2 linked regions of the Macaca fascicularis genome follow. The protein of the gene in region 2 interacts with the protein of the main gene of each other region in a biochemical or structural test. Links are inferred from orthologs where the notes say so. Each region holds a gene or a part of one and is shown on either strand. Other genes may lie near its edges. The genes, in order: EIF4EBP1 and MTOR.

Evidence for each region.
Region 1: of the proteins of MTOR (region 2) and EIF4EBP1, one has a biochemical effect on the other in vitro, tested with the Homo sapiens proteins (29 studies listed by BioGRID and IntAct, with this or other methods). The link is inferred for Macaca fascicularis from reciprocal best matches to the Homo sapiens genes MTOR and EIF4EBP1.

Annotation. Positions count from the first base shown.
Region 1 is NC_088382.1:41,420,431-41,424,933, reverse strand, and holds the start of EIF4EBP1 (eukaryotic translation initiation factor 4E-binding protein 1), read right to left. Parts: upstream 2,830-4,503; 5' UTR 2,768-2,829; coding exon 2,623-2,767; intron 1-2,622. UniProt on the Homo sapiens protein: Repressor of translation initiation that regulates EIF4E activity by preventing its assembly into the eIF4F complex: hypophosphorylated form competes with EIF4G1/EIF4G3 and strongly binds to EIF4E, leading to repress translation.
Region 2 is NC_088375.1:223,669,895-223,673,700, reverse strand, and holds part of MTOR (serine/threonine-protein kinase mTOR), read right to left. Parts: intron 3,085-3,806; coding exon 2,967-3,084; intron 676-2,966; coding exon 427-675; intron 1-426. UniProt on the Homo sapiens protein: Serine/threonine protein kinase which is a central regulator of cellular metabolism, growth and survival in response to hormones, growth factors, nutrients, energy and stress signals.

The sequences.
Region 1 (4,503 bases), on a different chromosome or scaffold from region 2:
GAATCTAGTCCCCACCCCCACCTACAGAATCAGAATATGCACTTAAATGAAGCCCCCAGTTATCCTCAAGCACCTGGAAGGTTGAGACGCAGTATTCTGCTCTGGAGCAAAAGGGTCCTGCGATGTGACCATTTCAGCTTCTCTGCCCTAGCAGAGGTGGGCTGAGGTGGGCTTTGGAGGAAGAGTTCACACCTTGGCTAATCGAGGCCGACCAGGCTTGCTTGACTTTAGTGGAAGTAAGCCGGGTTTCCCTGGCTTAGGGACTGTGAGCTGTACCTGGATGACCCAAAGAGTGAGCTGGCTTTAGGCTCCTGGCACTGCTAGCTTCTTCCAGTGATCTCAGAAACATGCTATGCCCTGATGCAGAAGCCCCTTCCCCACTCCCCCTACTGTTAAAGACCTTCGGCCGGGCGCGGTGGCTCAAGCCTGTAATCCCAGCACTTTGGGAGGCCGAGACGGGCGGATCACGAGGTCAGGAGATCGAGACCATCCTGGGTAACACAGTGAAACCCCGTCTCTACTAAAAATACAAAAACTTAGCCGGGCGAGGTGGCAGGCGCCTGTAGTCCCAGCTACTCGGGAGGCTGAGGCAGGAGAATGGCGTGAACCCGGGAGGCGGAGCTTGCAGTGAGCTGAGATCCGGCCACTGCACTCCAGCCTGGGTGACAGAGCGAGACTCCGTCTCAAAAAAAAAAAAAAAAAAAAAAAAAAAAAAAAAAAAAAAAAAGACCTTCAAAAGGAGGGGGATTTGCTGTGGTCTGTCAGCCCCCTGCCTACTCCCCACTTCCCAACCCAAAGTGAAAAGTGGATTCAAAGTTCATATATTTTATGTTTATTATTTATTTTAGAGACAGGGTCTCGCTCTGTCACCCAGGCTGGAATGCAGTGGTCAATCATAGCTCACTACAGCCTCCAACTCCTGGGCTCAAGCGACCCTCTGGCCGCAGCCTCTGTAATAGCTAGGACATCTTTTTTTTTTTTTTTTGTAGAGATGGAGTCTCACTATGTTGCCCAGGCTGGTCTTGAACTCCTGGCCTCAAGCAATTCTCCTGCCTCGACTCCCCAAAATGCTGAGATTACAGGTGTGAACCTTGGTACCCGTGCCAGAAGTGCCTATAAACAGTATCTGTGGCTTCCAATTTGACCCAACAATCCAGCAATAAAAGGCGCAAAAAAGGGCTACCTGTGCCTTCAGGCCAGCCTCAGGGCCCACCCTGAACAAATCCAGCAGACACTTACACCCTCAGTTGAAAGAAGTCCAAAATTGTCAGGAATTGTCCTGGTAGACCATTGTGACAGGGACAAAGGAGAACAGCATGAACTACAAAAGACCCAGCAAGGGAAAGAGGATGAGTCGGGAGTGGCAATAAGAGCCCCTGCGAGCTTTTCCTTGGCTCATTTCTAATAGAAAACGAAGCATTCCTCCCTTCTCTGCCTGGTTGCTATTTCTTGTCCAATCTGGGAAAACGGTGTGACAATGGGCAATAGACACGTGTTCAAGCTCTGGGGCCTCAATGCCCGGCTCTGTAGAATAAGGCGGCAGGGCTGGACAAGATCCCTAACCGTTCTAACAGTGTATGTTTTGGATCAAATAGCTGAGGACCTCGGATCCGGCCGTGCATGCTGCTGGTAGGACAGCTGCCTGAGAAAATAAGCATGTGGCCCCTGCCCGCCACCGAGTGAAGCGCCAGGATCTGTCGCGTTTTCGAGTAGTTTGGAAAGCAGCGTGGAGGAGATTGAAGGGAGAGAAGTCAAAGGGGTGGGGGCAGTACGAGGATGGGAGGGGAGTGGAGAGCCACGAGGATTTGTTTCATCATGCAAACAGGCGCGTAGGTTTCATCAGCGTCTGTGCGCTGGGGTTGCGGGGCTGGGAGGGAATGCCAGGCTCCTGAGGGCAGCCTGAGGCTGCCCCCCCACCCCCGCACCCGTGCCAGCTCAGCTTCCTCTTCCTCATCCTCTCCCAGGGAGGTCACACGGTGCCTCCTCCTCTCCCCGGACAGAAGAACGTGTTTTTCTGCACAGCCCTGCCCGTGGCGCCCGGCCCCCCCGCGGAGATCCCACTCGCGAAAATGGGGAACGTGCCACAGGTGCCCGGGAGGCTCTGCTGGAGCAGGAGAGCACCCCCACATCCAAACCTCCGTCAGAGCGCGCGTGTCCAACGCAAAACTAGGGGTGCTTCGGAAAGGAAAAAGGGCCCTGCAGGAATCATTTATCCCAACAGATAATACCCATCCCATAAAAACACCAGGCCAGGCCTCTCCTGGATCGTGGGCCACCCTGACTCCGCCCTATCCTGCCTCGGGAGCGCCCCCAACACCCACAAGGGGCAGCACAGCTCGGCATGTGGCAGTCCTGGAAGAGTGCGTGTTTGTTAGGTGTCAGCTGTCTGACACCTAACAGAAAGAGGAAACGAACGGGGCAGTTTGCAACCTGGGTCTGGACGACGCACTCAAGAGGGCAGACGGGCGGCCACTTCCATGACCCTTGCTATCTCCCCGATGCCCCTTCTCCGTTCTTTCCAGTCACAGCGCCCTTGAGCCTGGACACCCGGTCCAATCCGCGATTCCCGATCCTCCCGCCCGCCCAGGAGCCGGCCAGCTGCGTCCCCAAGCCCGCGCCTACCTCCCGGGGTGGTGCTGAAGAGTGTGCCGCCGGGGGTCGTGCTGTAGTCCCCGGGCGGGAGCTGCACGCCGTCGCCGAGCACCACCCGGCGAGTGGCGGGGATGGCCCGACTTGGGGTTTGGCTGCAGCTGCTGCCCCCGGACATGGTCTCCTGTGCGCTGCACCAGCGAACCTCTCGCTGCCCTCCCGCGCCTCCAGCCTCGCTCCGCCTAGCCGGGTCCCGCTCAGCCTCGCCCCGTCCCGCCCCGCCCCAGGACGCCCCTTCCGCCTCTCCCGCCCACGCCCCTGGGATTTGTAGTCCGCGCCGCAGCCCCACCCAGCTCCAGGACGTTGCTTCCACGTGGGATCCCCCGCAGCCCCCCGACCCACTCACGCCTGCTCACGGGCTCTTCCGCACGGGCGCCGGCGCCGCCCCGCAGCGACTGCCCCTCTGTCCTGTGTCCCTCCCCGCCACGTTGGCAGGGATGGGGGTGGGGGTGGTGGGCGGGATAGCTCGCCTAAATTAATCCTTGGCTGGGTTGGGGGCGGCGACTCAGGACCGCGCGGAGATCCGAGCTGACCCGGCCCACTGCAGGAAGGCCCGGTTTCTGCCTTAGTACATCAGGCCCGGTGTACCCTCCGGCACTCCCTGTTTCGTGCCTTAGTTCCTCAGATGAGAAAGTGGGGATTGAGTGGTCATGCTCACCCCCTCCCCCGCCTCAATTTCTTGACCTTGATGGGGGTGGGGATGGTGGGGCTAACAATTCTGTTCCCGGCCTTTAGACAGGGTGTGGGAGGAGGAGTGAACCAACCAGCGGCGTCCTGGGAGTTAAATTTAGAGCTAGGGCGCGGGGGTAGGGGGAGAGGGAAGGGCGTAGGAGAGGGGTAAGAGTTTGTCAAAGAGGTTTCCCGATAACTCCTGAATTGGGTCCAACGCCCACCCCACTGCCTGAGATTTAGTAGGTACTCCTTGGATGGTGGATGGAGGGATGTTCAAGGGGAGAGAGAAAAATGCAAGAAGGACCGAGGATGGAAAAGCTTGTTGGGTTTGAGAAGTTCTTAGCATTGTGGGCACATGTTGTGGGGAAGAGGGTGAAGAAAGTTTAAAAGGGAAATTGGGTGGTGCACCTGTAATCCCCACTACTCAGGAAGCTGAGCTGGAGGATGCTTGAGCTCAGGAGTTTGAGGCTCCAGTGAGTGTGATCACACCACTGCACTCCACCCTTAGTGACAGAGACCCTATCTCTAAAAAATATATAATAATTTTTTAAAAAGGAAATTGGGGTCAGGTCATTGAGTTTTTCAAATCATGCCAAAGTGCTTGGACTTTGTCTTAGAAGGGCAGGAGAGATCAGAGATTTTTTTTTTTTTTTTTTTTTTTTAAGGCTGGAGTGCAGTGGCGCGATCTTGGCTCACTGCAAGCTCTGCCTCCCGGGTTCACGCCATTCTCCTGCCTCAGCCTCCCGAGTAGCTGGGACTACAGGCGCCCGCCACTGCGCCCAGCTAATTTTTTGTATTTTTAGTAGAGATGGGATTTCACCGTGTTAGCCAGGATGGTGTTGGTGTCGATCTCCTAACCTCGTGATCCACCCGCCTCGGCCTCCCAAAGTGCTGGGATTACAGGCGTGAGTCACCGCGTCCAGCCCAGAGATCTTTTAAGCAGGGGGATGACATGATTTGAGTTGTTTTTTTTGAAAGATAACTAGTAGCCAGTGGAGTTTCAGGATGGGCCAAGGAGGGCAAGGCCTGAGATAGGGAGACCTGTTGAATTTGGTCTCACTTTTGAGGGAAACTTTAGGCCTACAGTGGCTTAAGACAGTAGCCGCCAGCTACAGGTGCACATTGAGCACTCCAAATGTGGCCAGTCCAAACTGTCACAAGTTTAACATACACACCATATTT
Region 2 (3,806 bases):
CTCAGATCTCTGGGCCTGCCAGCTGCCCTGGTGCATTATGAACTGACAGTCCAAGGAGAAGGGGAAGAAGTGGAAGTGGAGAGAAAAAGGCAGAGGATGGATCTCCCAAGCCCCATCCTCAGAGTGGACCTGCAGCTGTGTACAGCCACCCACACACAGGTGCAGCACGTAGAGAATGAGCTCATCCACGGGGAAGCTTGACAAGGAGCTTGTTCTTCAGCGTGGAGGCTGCGTCAGCTCCCCAAACACAAATATCCACACAAAGCCCTGTCTCAGGCAGTGCTGGATGGCAGACAGGCAGTATTTTCCAGCTCCACCTGGCACTTCAGATACAGCCTCAGGTTCCTTTTAAGCTTAACAACAGTTCCATTTCTCAGAGAGCCTGGCACGTTGGTTGGTTGGTAATAAGGAAGAAGGGAAGGGTACCTCAGTGACCTTCTTCTGCAGCGGCGATGGGGTGGGGCTGTTCTCGGTGCTCTCGGCCTCGCTCTCACTGTTGCTGCCCTCGGTGCTGGCGGTGGTGGTGGCAGTAGCGGCCGTGGTGGCGGCAGTGGTGGTGTTGGTGATATTAGCCCCGCTGGCATGACGCAGTTTCTTCTTCTCGTCACGGGCTTGGTTCTGATGTTTGTAGTGTAGCACAGCTTCGAAGTTCATCACTGCCCACGCGTGCCAGGCCTGGTTGGGGAGAAAGGCAAGGACAGACACCGGAGCTGTGACCAACAGCAGGGCTCAGAGGAGTGCAAGGTAAATGCTGAGGAACAGCTGCTCCTGCCTCTTCTTTGTGTCCATAAAGCAAACACTTCAAGGAGACACTCAGAAATGGCTGTTTTACTAAATTCAACATGATCCACTGACTTTGTGGAGCACTAACCATATAACGTACTGCTGTGACTGCACTGCGAGAAGGGCACAGCAAGAGGAGCAGGAGACAGCTCTTGCCTCAAGGGATCTCCTGGCCTTCTAGGGGAGCTCACGTACAAACCTGAAGACCTAGGTACTCTGCAAGGCGCAACGGGAGTAGCAAGGACAGGGATTTGGAAAGCTTTGTCAAGAAGAGGGATTTGGGGTAGGTCTGGAAGAGAGCTGCAGAAGGGCAAGGAGGGAAACAAGAGAGCAGCGGTGGGGACTACTTGGCAAGGGGGAAGATAAGGCCAGAGATGCACAGATTGGTTCACGGGAAATAAGCCCATGGATGTGACTGCGCAGGAGATACACGCAGGCGAGGAGTGAGAGCGAGGCCAGTAAAGCATGCCTGGAGCAGGCACGGGGCTGGCACTTTCACCCAGAAAGCAGAGCTGCATTGGATATAAAGTGTACATTTAGGGGAGAGCAGAAGCGGCAAGCAGAAGTGGGGGCAAGCAGCAGTCATCACAATATTTCAGGGGAGCAAAGTCTTGACAGGTCACCAGATAGTGGACAAAGGAAGACATGAAGAGCATAGGAGCATGATGGAGAAAGAATCTCACCCATCTACCTGGTCTCCACACCTAGCCCATGGCCTGACAGAGAACCAGAGCTCAATGCTTGATGGACGAACCCTTGGTGCTTATTCGGATAAAGGAATACTACTGTCTCTCTGGGGTTCTGAGCGGCAATGACTCTATAGCGTACACTGCTTGGTTTAGCAAGTGTGAGGCAGAGTTTGCTTCCAGGCACGGTAACTCTGCAGTGACAGTAGGACACTACGTGACCCATTAATAGCTGAACTTTCTGAATAATCAGGAAATTCATTTGTATGCCTTGCCAAAAACCTTGAACACAGGTGTATCCGTTTTCTCATCTAAGCAGAATAGACTGATCACAATTAACCTTTACTTGGTGAGTAAGAATTCTACAATGACCCAGGTTTCAGTTTTTCCATACCTTCATTTATTCCCCGAACATCTCTTGTATATCTGCTATGTGCCTAGCAATGATCTGGGGTCAAGGTGAACCAGACAAGCAGTCCTGGCATGCACACAGGGCCATGACGTTGACGGTAGAAGACATTATAAAACTAAAGGGACCCACATTAGGAAATGCTTTTAAAAACTAAAACTAAAGTTCCTGAAACCAGCTTTTTTCTTGTGATTTGCTTACTTCCTAAAAGCTAAATGAAGAAAAGTAACTCTGGTTAGAATGCAATTCTGATTAATAAGCGTCCAGCTAATAGTGTTTACTGGATGTATTTTCCAGCTTTGGACATGCAGCTTTGGACATACAGCTTTGGACATTCATGCAAACCAGAATGAAGCATGTCTAAACAAAGGTAAGATCTGTATTATAAGTGCTTCTGCAGTCCTCAGATGCAAGTTTAGATTTCAGAGGGATTAATTCACAAAGTATTGGCAAACCAAGGAGATACTGGAAAGACATCAATGACATCTGCCACACCTACTTACCAGGAAGCCTCTCAAAAAGAAATGAGAATGTGTGTTCTCACTAAAGATATATACTTGCAAAAATCACCCCTCCATCAATCACATCTTTTAAAAATTTTCTAATTCTGTTTATCTCTTTCAAAAGTTTCCTGTAACATAACAGGATGTTACTTGGATCTTTCCAATAAAAATAAAGAAAGTTAAGTTCTTAGCTGAGGAGCAGGCAAGGATGGAAATCAGAAAAATGCTGAGCAGGAACAGATGACCCAAGGGAAGATGACGCTCCAGAGATTAACCATGTGTCCAGATGCTCCCAGGAAAACAAGCAGCTCAGAATCTATAAGACAGCAGCAATCCCCAGCACCCCACACACCTAATAATGGTGTAACAAGTATTTCTCACAATAATCTTTCTGTATTAATTAAACTTGTAGGGGGAAACGCAGGCTCCCTGGGCCTGTGACTGACAGACTCCAGGGACTCAAGAAGCAAATTAACAGCATCAGCCTAGCTCCACAGAAGCTCAGCTGTAACCACGAGCACACAAGAGGACATGAGCAAGCCAGCCAGGGTGCTGGGTCTCGCAGGCGGCCCTGCTTCTGATCACCTTGTACCAGCTGCGGTCGTGCTCGGTGGCAGCGCTGTAGTACTGCAGCACTTTGGGGATTGTGCTCTCGTTGATGCCCTGTAGATTCAGCTGCCACTCTCCAAGTTTCAGGAAGCATCTGGAAGCAGAGAAACAAGCCCCCATGATGCTCCCTCCTCAAAACAGCCCTCGTAAGAGGGCCACGAATTGTTAGGGGGACACTGAAGCCCTTCTAGTATTTCCTCTTGTTCTCAGGAGGCAATGTGAAGGAGCCAGCAAAATTTTCAGCCATATGGAAGAAAGGAGATGGGCTTTTGGAATACATTTTTTTTTTTTTGAGACGGAGTCTCGCTTTGTTGCCCAGGCTGGAGTGCAGTGGCACGATCTTGGCTCACTGTAAGCTCCACCTCCCGGGCTCACGCCATTCTCCTGCCTCAGCCTCCCGAGTAGCTGGGACTACAGGTGCCCGCCACCACACCGGCTTAATTTTTTGTATTTTTAGTAGAGATGGCGTTTCACCGTGTTAGCCAGGATGGTCTTGATCTCCTGACCTCGTGATCCGCCCGCCTCGGCCTCCCAAAGTGCTGGGATTACAGGCGTGAGCCACCGAACCCGGCCTGGAATACAATTTTAAGATACCATCTTTCCATCTTGACCTTTGTCTCTCAATGACAGCATAAACCAGGTACCTGGTACAGATAGGTCTATATGGACCTATCTACCCCAAATCCAATTTTTGTGGGTGACAGTTGTTGAGAGTTACTTCTCTTATTGCTATATGGCTTCTCCCTTACTTTTCCCTTCCCCTCCATTCATTGAAATGAGATTAGCCCACATTTATTAACTGCTACTATATTCCAA